Linked DNA regions of Arabidopsis thaliana. The protein of the gene in region 1 binds, or shares a complex with, the protein of each later gene. Each region holds a gene or a part of one and is shown in the gene's direction. Other genes may lie near its edges.

The links. Proteins that work in one complex are often made in the same cells at the same time.
Region 2: rps18 (region 1) and PSRP3/1 share a complex: the UniProt entries of both Arabidopsis thaliana proteins name them as parts of the 30S ribosomal subunit.

Annotation. Positions count from the first base shown.
Region 1 is NC_000932.1:65,467-69,551, forward strand, and holds rps18 (ribosomal protein S18), read left to right. Parts: upstream 1-2,450; coding exon 2,451-2,756; downstream 2,757-4,085. Other genes in the region: petL (cytochrome b6/f complex subunit VI), read left to right, coding at 246-341; petG (cytochrome b6/f complex subunit V), read left to right, coding at 532-645; psaJ (photosystem I subunit IX), read left to right, coding at 1,463-1,597; rpl33 (ribosomal protein L33), read left to right, coding at 2,022-2,222; rpl20 (ribosomal protein L20), read right to left, coding at 3,046-3,399.
Region 2 is NC_003070.9:25,756,167-25,760,241, reverse strand, and holds PSRP3/1 (Ribosomal protein PSRP-3/Ycf65), read left to right. Parts: upstream 1-1,830; 5' UTR 1,831-2,072; coding exon 2,073-2,297; intron 2,298-2,373; coding exon 2,374-2,649; 3' UTR 2,650-2,815; downstream 2,816-4,075. Other genes in the region: AT1G68600 (aluminum activated malate transporter family protein), read right to left, coding at 1-295; AT1G68585 (uncharacterized protein), read right to left, coding at 2,816-2,970, 3,057-3,138, 3,218-3,331. UniProt on the Arabidopsis thaliana protein: Component of the chloroplast ribosome (chloro-ribosome), a dedicated translation machinery responsible for the synthesis of chloroplast genome-encoded proteins, including proteins of the transcription and translation machinery and components of the photosynthetic apparatus.

The DNA of each region.
Region 1 (4,085 bases):
TTACGTTAATTCTGACTCCTGAGATAGTGCAGATGCCAAAGACGATGAATTGAGTTCTTTTTATCTTTCTCTATTTTTTTTCATACCACCTATAATGATTGATAATTCACAAATTTTCAATTGAATTTTTTTAATTCTTGGAACTAGTTATCTTTCTCTATTTCTTAAAAAAAATTTCAATTGAAACTTAGGGAAGTACTTTAAGAAACATATGTATAAAAAAACATATTTTATTGAGTCCCTTCATGCCTACTATAACTAGTTATTTCGGTTTTCTACTAGCAGCTTTAACTATAACCTCAGTTCTGTTTATTGGTCTAAGCAAAATACGACTTATTTGAAATTAATTGAATGCAGATTTTTTTATAAAAAAGGATTTCGTTGGTATTTATTAATATGTTCGATAGTTCCTTACCGTGTTAATTACCAAATTTTGGTCATTGAGATTCATTGGCAATACAGATTAAGAGCTAGGAATAGATAGTACCTCTCTTTTCTCCCTTTCAAAAATGAAAACAAAAGAAAATTCAAATGATTGAAGTTTTTTTATTTGGAATCGTCTTAGGTCTAATTCCTATTACTTTGGCTGGATTATTCGTAACTGCTTATTTACAATACAGACGTGGTGATCAGTTGGACTTTTAATTAATTAACATCTCGTTTTTTTACTAACCTCCTTCTTGCTTTCCTATGCGGGAGGTCTAATTCAGACTGCTGCTCAGTAATTTGTGAACAGTGGAATTTTGATACAATCTATGAAATCACGCTCTGTAGGATTTGAACCTACGACATTGGGTTTTGGAGACCCACGTTCTACCGAACTGAACTAAGAGCGTTTTTCTTTTTTTTTTTTTCTAAAAAACGAAAAGGCTAGAAAGAGGGCATTCTTTAACCCGACTCGATTTTGTACGTATATACTATATCATACATAGTATATCATAAATTTCAGAATTAAATGTATGTCCGATAAAAAAAATTGATCAAAATAGATACCTCGTTACTGCTCTTCTGAGCAGTAATAGGTAGGGATGACAGGATTTGAACCCGTGACATTTTGTACCCAAAACAAACGCGCTACCAAGCTGCGCTACATCCCTTTCAATAGGTTTACAGTGTCATTGTAGAGAATTCCTGTCTTGTTTTCCACATCCTCCTTCTTTTTTATTGGTATATCAAATTCATTTCTTCTTTTTTTCTCATATCAGATAACAAAGATATAATTAAAAAATTTACTTTTTTTTTTTTTTTTATTCTCTCAATTTTACATAAATAGGCCTTTACGTTTTCAAATGGAATCGATAAGATCGTTCTAGTCGACAATATTAAAATTCTAATTTTGAAAGCGGGGGGACGGAAGTTACATATACAAATACAAGAACTTCTTAATTACATGTACATCTGTAATTATATATATTACTATATATAATGTAATACAATAAAGAAGAAAGAAGGAGGATTTCTAATGCGAGATCTAAAAACATATCTTTCCGTAGCACCGGTACTAAGTACTCTATGGTTCGGTTCGTTAGCAGGTTTATTAATAGAGATTAATCGTTTATTTCCAGATGCATTAACATTTCCCTTTTTTTCATTCTAGTTATTAACATCAGAAAGGGGTGAAAAATTTAGAGATACAATCAACAATCGGGGACTAACCCCCCCACCTTTTCTAATTAGTAGAATAAATTAGAAAAGGTGGGGGGGGGGGGGAAAGGTCATAAAAACGAGGGTTCAGGATCCAATGAAATTAGTAATAGAACGAAAAAAAGTGTTGCTAGGGAACCTATCAGATACTTAAAAAAACTACTGTACAAAGATTTTAAATATAGTTTTCACAAAATCATAAATCATTGTATTACTTATTTTTTTTATTTAATTACTAATAAATAAAATATTAATTGTAACGAAATATTTCAGAATTTTTTTTAGTTAACAGCTTCTATTTTTTTTGTTCTTGTTCTTTCTGGATCCTAAAATTAAAATAGAAGATTGAGGTGAATCATAAATCCAAAGGAGGTTTCATGGCCAAGGGTAAAGATGTTCGAGTAACAATTATTTTGGAATGTACCAGTTGTGTTCGAAATGATATTAAGAAAGAAGCCGCGGGAATTTCCAGATATATTACTCAAAAGAATCGGCATAACACCCCTAGTCGATTGGAATTGAGAAAATTCTGTCCCTATTGTTATAAACATACAATTCACGGGGAAATCAAGAAATAGATCAAATTGAGTGCTTGTATGTCAACTTTTATTTTAAGAACAGGAATAATGCTAGTATCTATATATTATTACATATATATAAATATAAACAAATAAATCAATAGAAAGAAATCTAATCCGATATTCTTAATTCTATATAGAAATTCTATCCTATATAGAAATAGAAATCGTTTTTATTTTGATCCGATCAAAATAGGATTTTAGAGATAAGGAATAAAAATAAAAATTATGAATAAATCTAAGCGACTTTTTACTAAATCCAAGCGATCTTTTCGTAGGCGTTTGCCCCCGATCCAATCGGGGGATCGAATTGATTATAGAAACATGAGTTTAATTAGTCGATTTATTAGTGAACAAGGAAAAATATTATCTAGACGGGTGAATAGAGTGACTTTAAAACAACAACGATTAATCACTATTGCTATAAAACAAGCTCGTATTTTATCTTTGTTACCTTTTCTTAATAATCAGAAACAATTTGAAAGAAGTGAGTCGACTCCTAGAACTACTAGTCTTAGAACCAGAAAAAAATAGACTTATTTTTCAATTGAATAACAATTCCAATCTGAAGGAATTAAAAAAGAGATTAATGTTTTGTTCAAAAAATCCAATCAAGAATAAAAATTTGATTGTTACGTCTGTGTCTATTATAAAAAAAAAAAGAAAAGAATCGTCGAAAAGCATAACTCGTTTTTTCGAAACTATATACTCTCGTTTTGTTTTGACGACTTTTTTTTTAATACTAATTTCTACTCTACCTTCCCCGAGCTCATTCTCCTTAGAACTCTATTTCAAATATTTTCGTGGATTTCTTCCAATCCCCTTATTTTTTTATGTCATTCGAAATTGTATAAAGACAACTCCTATTTAATAGAGCTATTTGTGCAAGTATTTTCCGATTAAGAAGTAATTGCTTCTTGTATAGATTGTGTATGAATTCATTATAACTATAGAATACCCCCATTTCGTGAATTACGGCATTTATTCGAGTGATCCATAAACGGCGAAAATCTCTTTTTCTTTTACCCCTATCCCGATGAGCCGAAACTAAAGCTCTTATTCTCTGTTGAGTCATAGTTCGTGTAAGCCGTGAATGAGCCCCTCGAAAGCTTGATGCAAATAAACGAAGTTTTGTTCTACGCCTCCGAGCTATATATCCGCGTTTAATTCTAGTCATTGAATAAATCAAACTTTGATGAATAACTAATTCTTTTTTTAGTTATTCTTTTCCCCTTTACTAGTCTATTAATAACCAAACGAATTATTCCAATGTATAAAAAAAATTCCAATGGCTTTTGCTACTCTAACCTTCCCCACCACTATTTTTTGCTAGGTATTTTCCTTTACTTTGAAAGGCCTTGATATAAAAAAATAGAATAACTACAAAACGTAGTAAATAGAATTGGATAAATAGTGGGTTCCATCGTTTCTATGGTTACTTCTAAAACGGTGAGGTCCTCTCTATACACCGGAGCTCCTTCTTTTAATTAATCAATACTATTGGTAACTTGTACAATTCACATTCTTTGGCTCTACCCCATGAATATTCCAGTAATAGGTCTTTCACAATGAGATCCCCTTTATACAGTAACGGTATTTCATTTTGAAAATTGATTAGGTCATTTACCCTGTTAGTCCGTTCTTTTCTTTCAAGAGTGAAATCTTTTTTCTAAAAAATGGAATTTCCCCCGCTTAATGGATACTCATTTGTTATCATTGGGGGTTTTCTAAAAAATGGAGTTGATTGGATTTGCACCAATGTAAACCATAAGTTTCAGACACAATAGAGTATATGAACGATCTATATTTTGTAAATAATGAATCGAGTTCGTCCATTCTATTTTATTCATAGGTACTGATCCG
Region 2 (4,075 bases), on another chromosome or scaffold:
CGAAAATGAGAACGACGGTGAGAATCGCCCAAACTGCGAATTTACTAGCATCTTGAAGCGGCTCTTTGAGAAAGATGACGAAAGAACAGAGTGCCAAAGCAATTCCCATCTTGATGGAGAAGTAAAGTTTCCTACGATCAGAATGTCCCAGCGCGTACAACTTCGCCGGAGCCTCGTAGAGAGCCCTCCACGAGCAACACCGGAACTTGGAGTCACGGCTATCAGCGACGTCGCTTGACTGCCAGAGAAGCTTCTCTGTGTTTTGCTCCGGTACTGATCCCATTTTACCTCCCATTAGAAATGATTCTGACAATTCTACAGAACCTGAGAGATTCTTGTCGTCCTTACGAATAGAAAGATGTTTATTTATCTATTTATCAAGATTTGTTTTGTACTACGCAATTAATGCATGCCTTCGATTCATCATCTCTAAATAATCAAGTTTTTTTAAAAAATTTACAATTTGGTGCATCTACATTACAAATTTTAATAATTGTCCGATTTATAACTTTGATGTTTTTGGTTGAAATCTAATCATTAACATATTAACCACCAAAAGTGTCCAAATTTTTTGAAACAGATGGAATTTAAAACGTGAGAATTTACATTTGTGGACCAGTAATGCATAAATGGACCGGTAAGGCCGTAATATGATTTTTTGTGACTATTAGTTATTCAGTAAAAAAATTAAAAATAGAATTATATTATTTCTTAATTTCTGTTCAATGTGTTAATGTTTCTTAAACTGTAGACTTTACCTTTTTGGCTCAGCTACATAATATTTTTTCATAGTTACCCGATTTAGTAAGTTTTTTTGTTGAATCTAAACATCAACATAATTCATTGTGACCAGTAAAAGTGTCGCAGAAATAACAACAGATATCTATGGATAAACAACCTGAGAATTAACTATAGTGGACGTGTGTAATGTAAATGGACCAATAATGTGACGGTGAACAAATTTACACACATATCTTAAAGTCTCTTCAAGTTCAAGACTCTAATAATTGAATTACAGACCCACAGTTTTGGAGAAGTTGCAAGTATCAAAGAGACGACAAGTTTCATGGTCGTGACTTGTGTGAATGTGACATTTTGAAACTCCTACTTACTACCGCATCGCATCTTACTACTTCCTAACTATGCTCAAAAGCCAAGCCCTACCCTACACAGTGTACCCACCCTCACATGAGATTTTTCCTACTTTTTTTTGAGAAACAACAATTATTTATGTATTTTGGGTGAGTTTGATTGTTTTATCCAATTATTGTATGCTGAAAATAAAAAATATCGTGTGCACATTATATAATAACTACGATGTAAGAAGTATTTCAAACTTTTACTATATATACTCATCGAATGATGTTCATGAATGACCATCATGGTGTCTTTCTCCTTAAAGGCTTTCTCATCTCATCTATCCAGTGCTACTTCAAGTCCAAAGAAAGACTCTTCTTTGGCCTCAGCAAACCTGTGAAAATAAAGAAGACGATTTTTTAAGATGAATCATGTGACATAATGTAAAAAGAATCATGTGACATATATAATGTAAAGGCCACTTTCTCAACAATTATTTGTTTTTGATAAATAAATAAAACAAATTGAGGACATCTTGCAGCGTACAATATCGATAATTATATTTTGTTAAAAATTGTGTTTTGATTAATACAAAAATTTATTTCACACAAAAAAATTTATTGACTTTGATCAAATCATGAACACTAAACAAAGATGAGGTTTTTAATTTTTGTATAAATACTTGTGGCTGTCAAATGTCATTCGAATTAAATATGATATGATTAATACTTATATGTTGAGATCTTTGAATTAGTCCCTCGAAAATACTTGAAACAGAGTCTGTATTTTTAAAAGTCTACTTCTCAAAGCTTCAGGTTTGTATTCATGGGCTTATAATAAACTCTGTATTCTTGACCCATTTAATGATGGGCCAAGTCAACAAAGCCCATAAATTTGATAGTCAAACTACTTTGAAACTCCACCCAAAAATGTGACCATATCTTCCTTATCCATATTCTCACAAAATCTCCATTGTTCTCTGAGAAAACACAAAAATGATGTCATCAATGGCACTCTCTTCTACTTCCCTCTGCTCTTCTTTCATCTCTCAACATCCAAAACTCTCCATCACTGCTTCTCCTCCATTGTTCCATACCCAAACAACCAAACCCATCTCTGTAAAACGGAAAATCATAACTCTAGCAGCTCCAGAGACACTCACCGCTGAAACAGTCACCGGAATTGATACTTCCGACAACACTCCACAACAAACAATAAAGGTAAAAACAACATATTCTTCTTCATCTTCTTGTCTCTTGTGTTACAAAACCCACAAATCTTTGTTGTTTGTGTTAGGTGGTGAAGCCAGATGAGAAATCAAGAGTGGTACTCAAGTTTGTGTGGATGGAGAAGAACATAGGATTAGGATTGGACCAACATGTACCTGGACATGGCACAATCCCACTTAGTCCTTACTTCTTCTGGCCTAGGAAAGATGCTTGGGAAGAGCTTAAGTCTACTCTTGAAGCTAAACCATGGATCTCTCAGAAGAAGATGATCATTCTTCTAAACCAAGCCACTGATATCATCAATCTCTGGCAACAAAGTGGCGGCAATTTAACTTCTCAATAATCTCTTTTTTGATTTCTGCATTTCAAGAATTCACTTTGTCTATGATTATTATTGCTATTGAGAGTTTTTTGTTTATCTAAACAATATCCAATCACATTCGACATAAAAGATTCATTTTATTGGAAAGAGAAAATGATAATAAAAGCAAACATCAAGCAACTCTGAGTTATTGTTTCCTTGAAGGACATATCAAACGCTTGATGGTTGAGATTTTGCAGAGAAGAGCTTCACCATAGGATTTAGAGACTCTCCGGTCACCGGAATATGTACACGTTAGTGTCACTTTCTTCTCCAACACACTCACCAATATTGAATATGTTTCTGCTCCAAGAAAACAGAGGAAACAAGCGTGAGAGGAAAGAACAAAAAAGTGTCTCATCTCGGAAGTAAGTAAGCTATATACTCACCGATCATCCTCGCCATTATGTCGGCGACTTTCTCTTGGCAGTCACTACATCTGATGTCTGCTGATAGAACAATCTCCTGAATCTGATAACACACAAGATCAATTAAAAGAATCCACAGAGTTGAATCATTCTAAGACAAAAGTGTTAAGAGAGTAACGAACAAGTGGCATGGATAACGATGCGACAGAAGCGAGACTGGTTTCACTTGTTCTTGAAAGCTTGCTTCTTAGTGATGGTTCAAGTTCCTCCTCGACGATTTGAGACAGAGTAGCCATGACACTCTCGTTGCACAGAGAAGATAGATAAAACAGGAAATGAAGAATCCTATAGAAACAGTCTCTTGTACAAGGAAAGATAAGTAAAACAAAAATCTAGAATCCTAAAGAAACCACCAAACCAAGAGTGGGAAACGAAGAGTGTCGCTATCCGAAAAGGATGAGTTAGCAAAACTAGTGACAGAGGAAGCCCATCTTTGCTTTTGCTTTAATCTTTGGAGAAAACTAAGTTTAGAGACTCAAGAGACATGTTAACACACAATAGAGATATAATATATGCTTTGGATCCATGACTTAGTGTCCATTAATCTGAGTAAGAAAGTCAAGTTCTTTTGGCTCCTCTTTATTTCCTCTACATTGTTTGAAAAAGATGCTTCACTCACCAAAATGCAACCCCACCAAAATCATTCAAGTTGGAGGATTCTGACTTGGTCTTAAACGAATTTAAATAGCTTACCTTTTTCACCTTACCCTACCTTTTGGTAAGCCAATCATCTATAGCACAACAAGAGATGATAATAGGTAAAAGTTTAAAATGGTGTAAGATAAGACACTCAACTTTCATCACTGTTAGTGGTTTATAACAAGCGCTCTTACTATGGATAACAAAACTTGTTGGACGATTCCAGAAAACATCAATTGTTACCAGCTAGTTACAACTAACAACCAAAGAGCATCAATTTTATTTGTTGGTCCCCTTTGGAATGCTGCACAAAACAAAACCCTATGGGCACATGGACATGG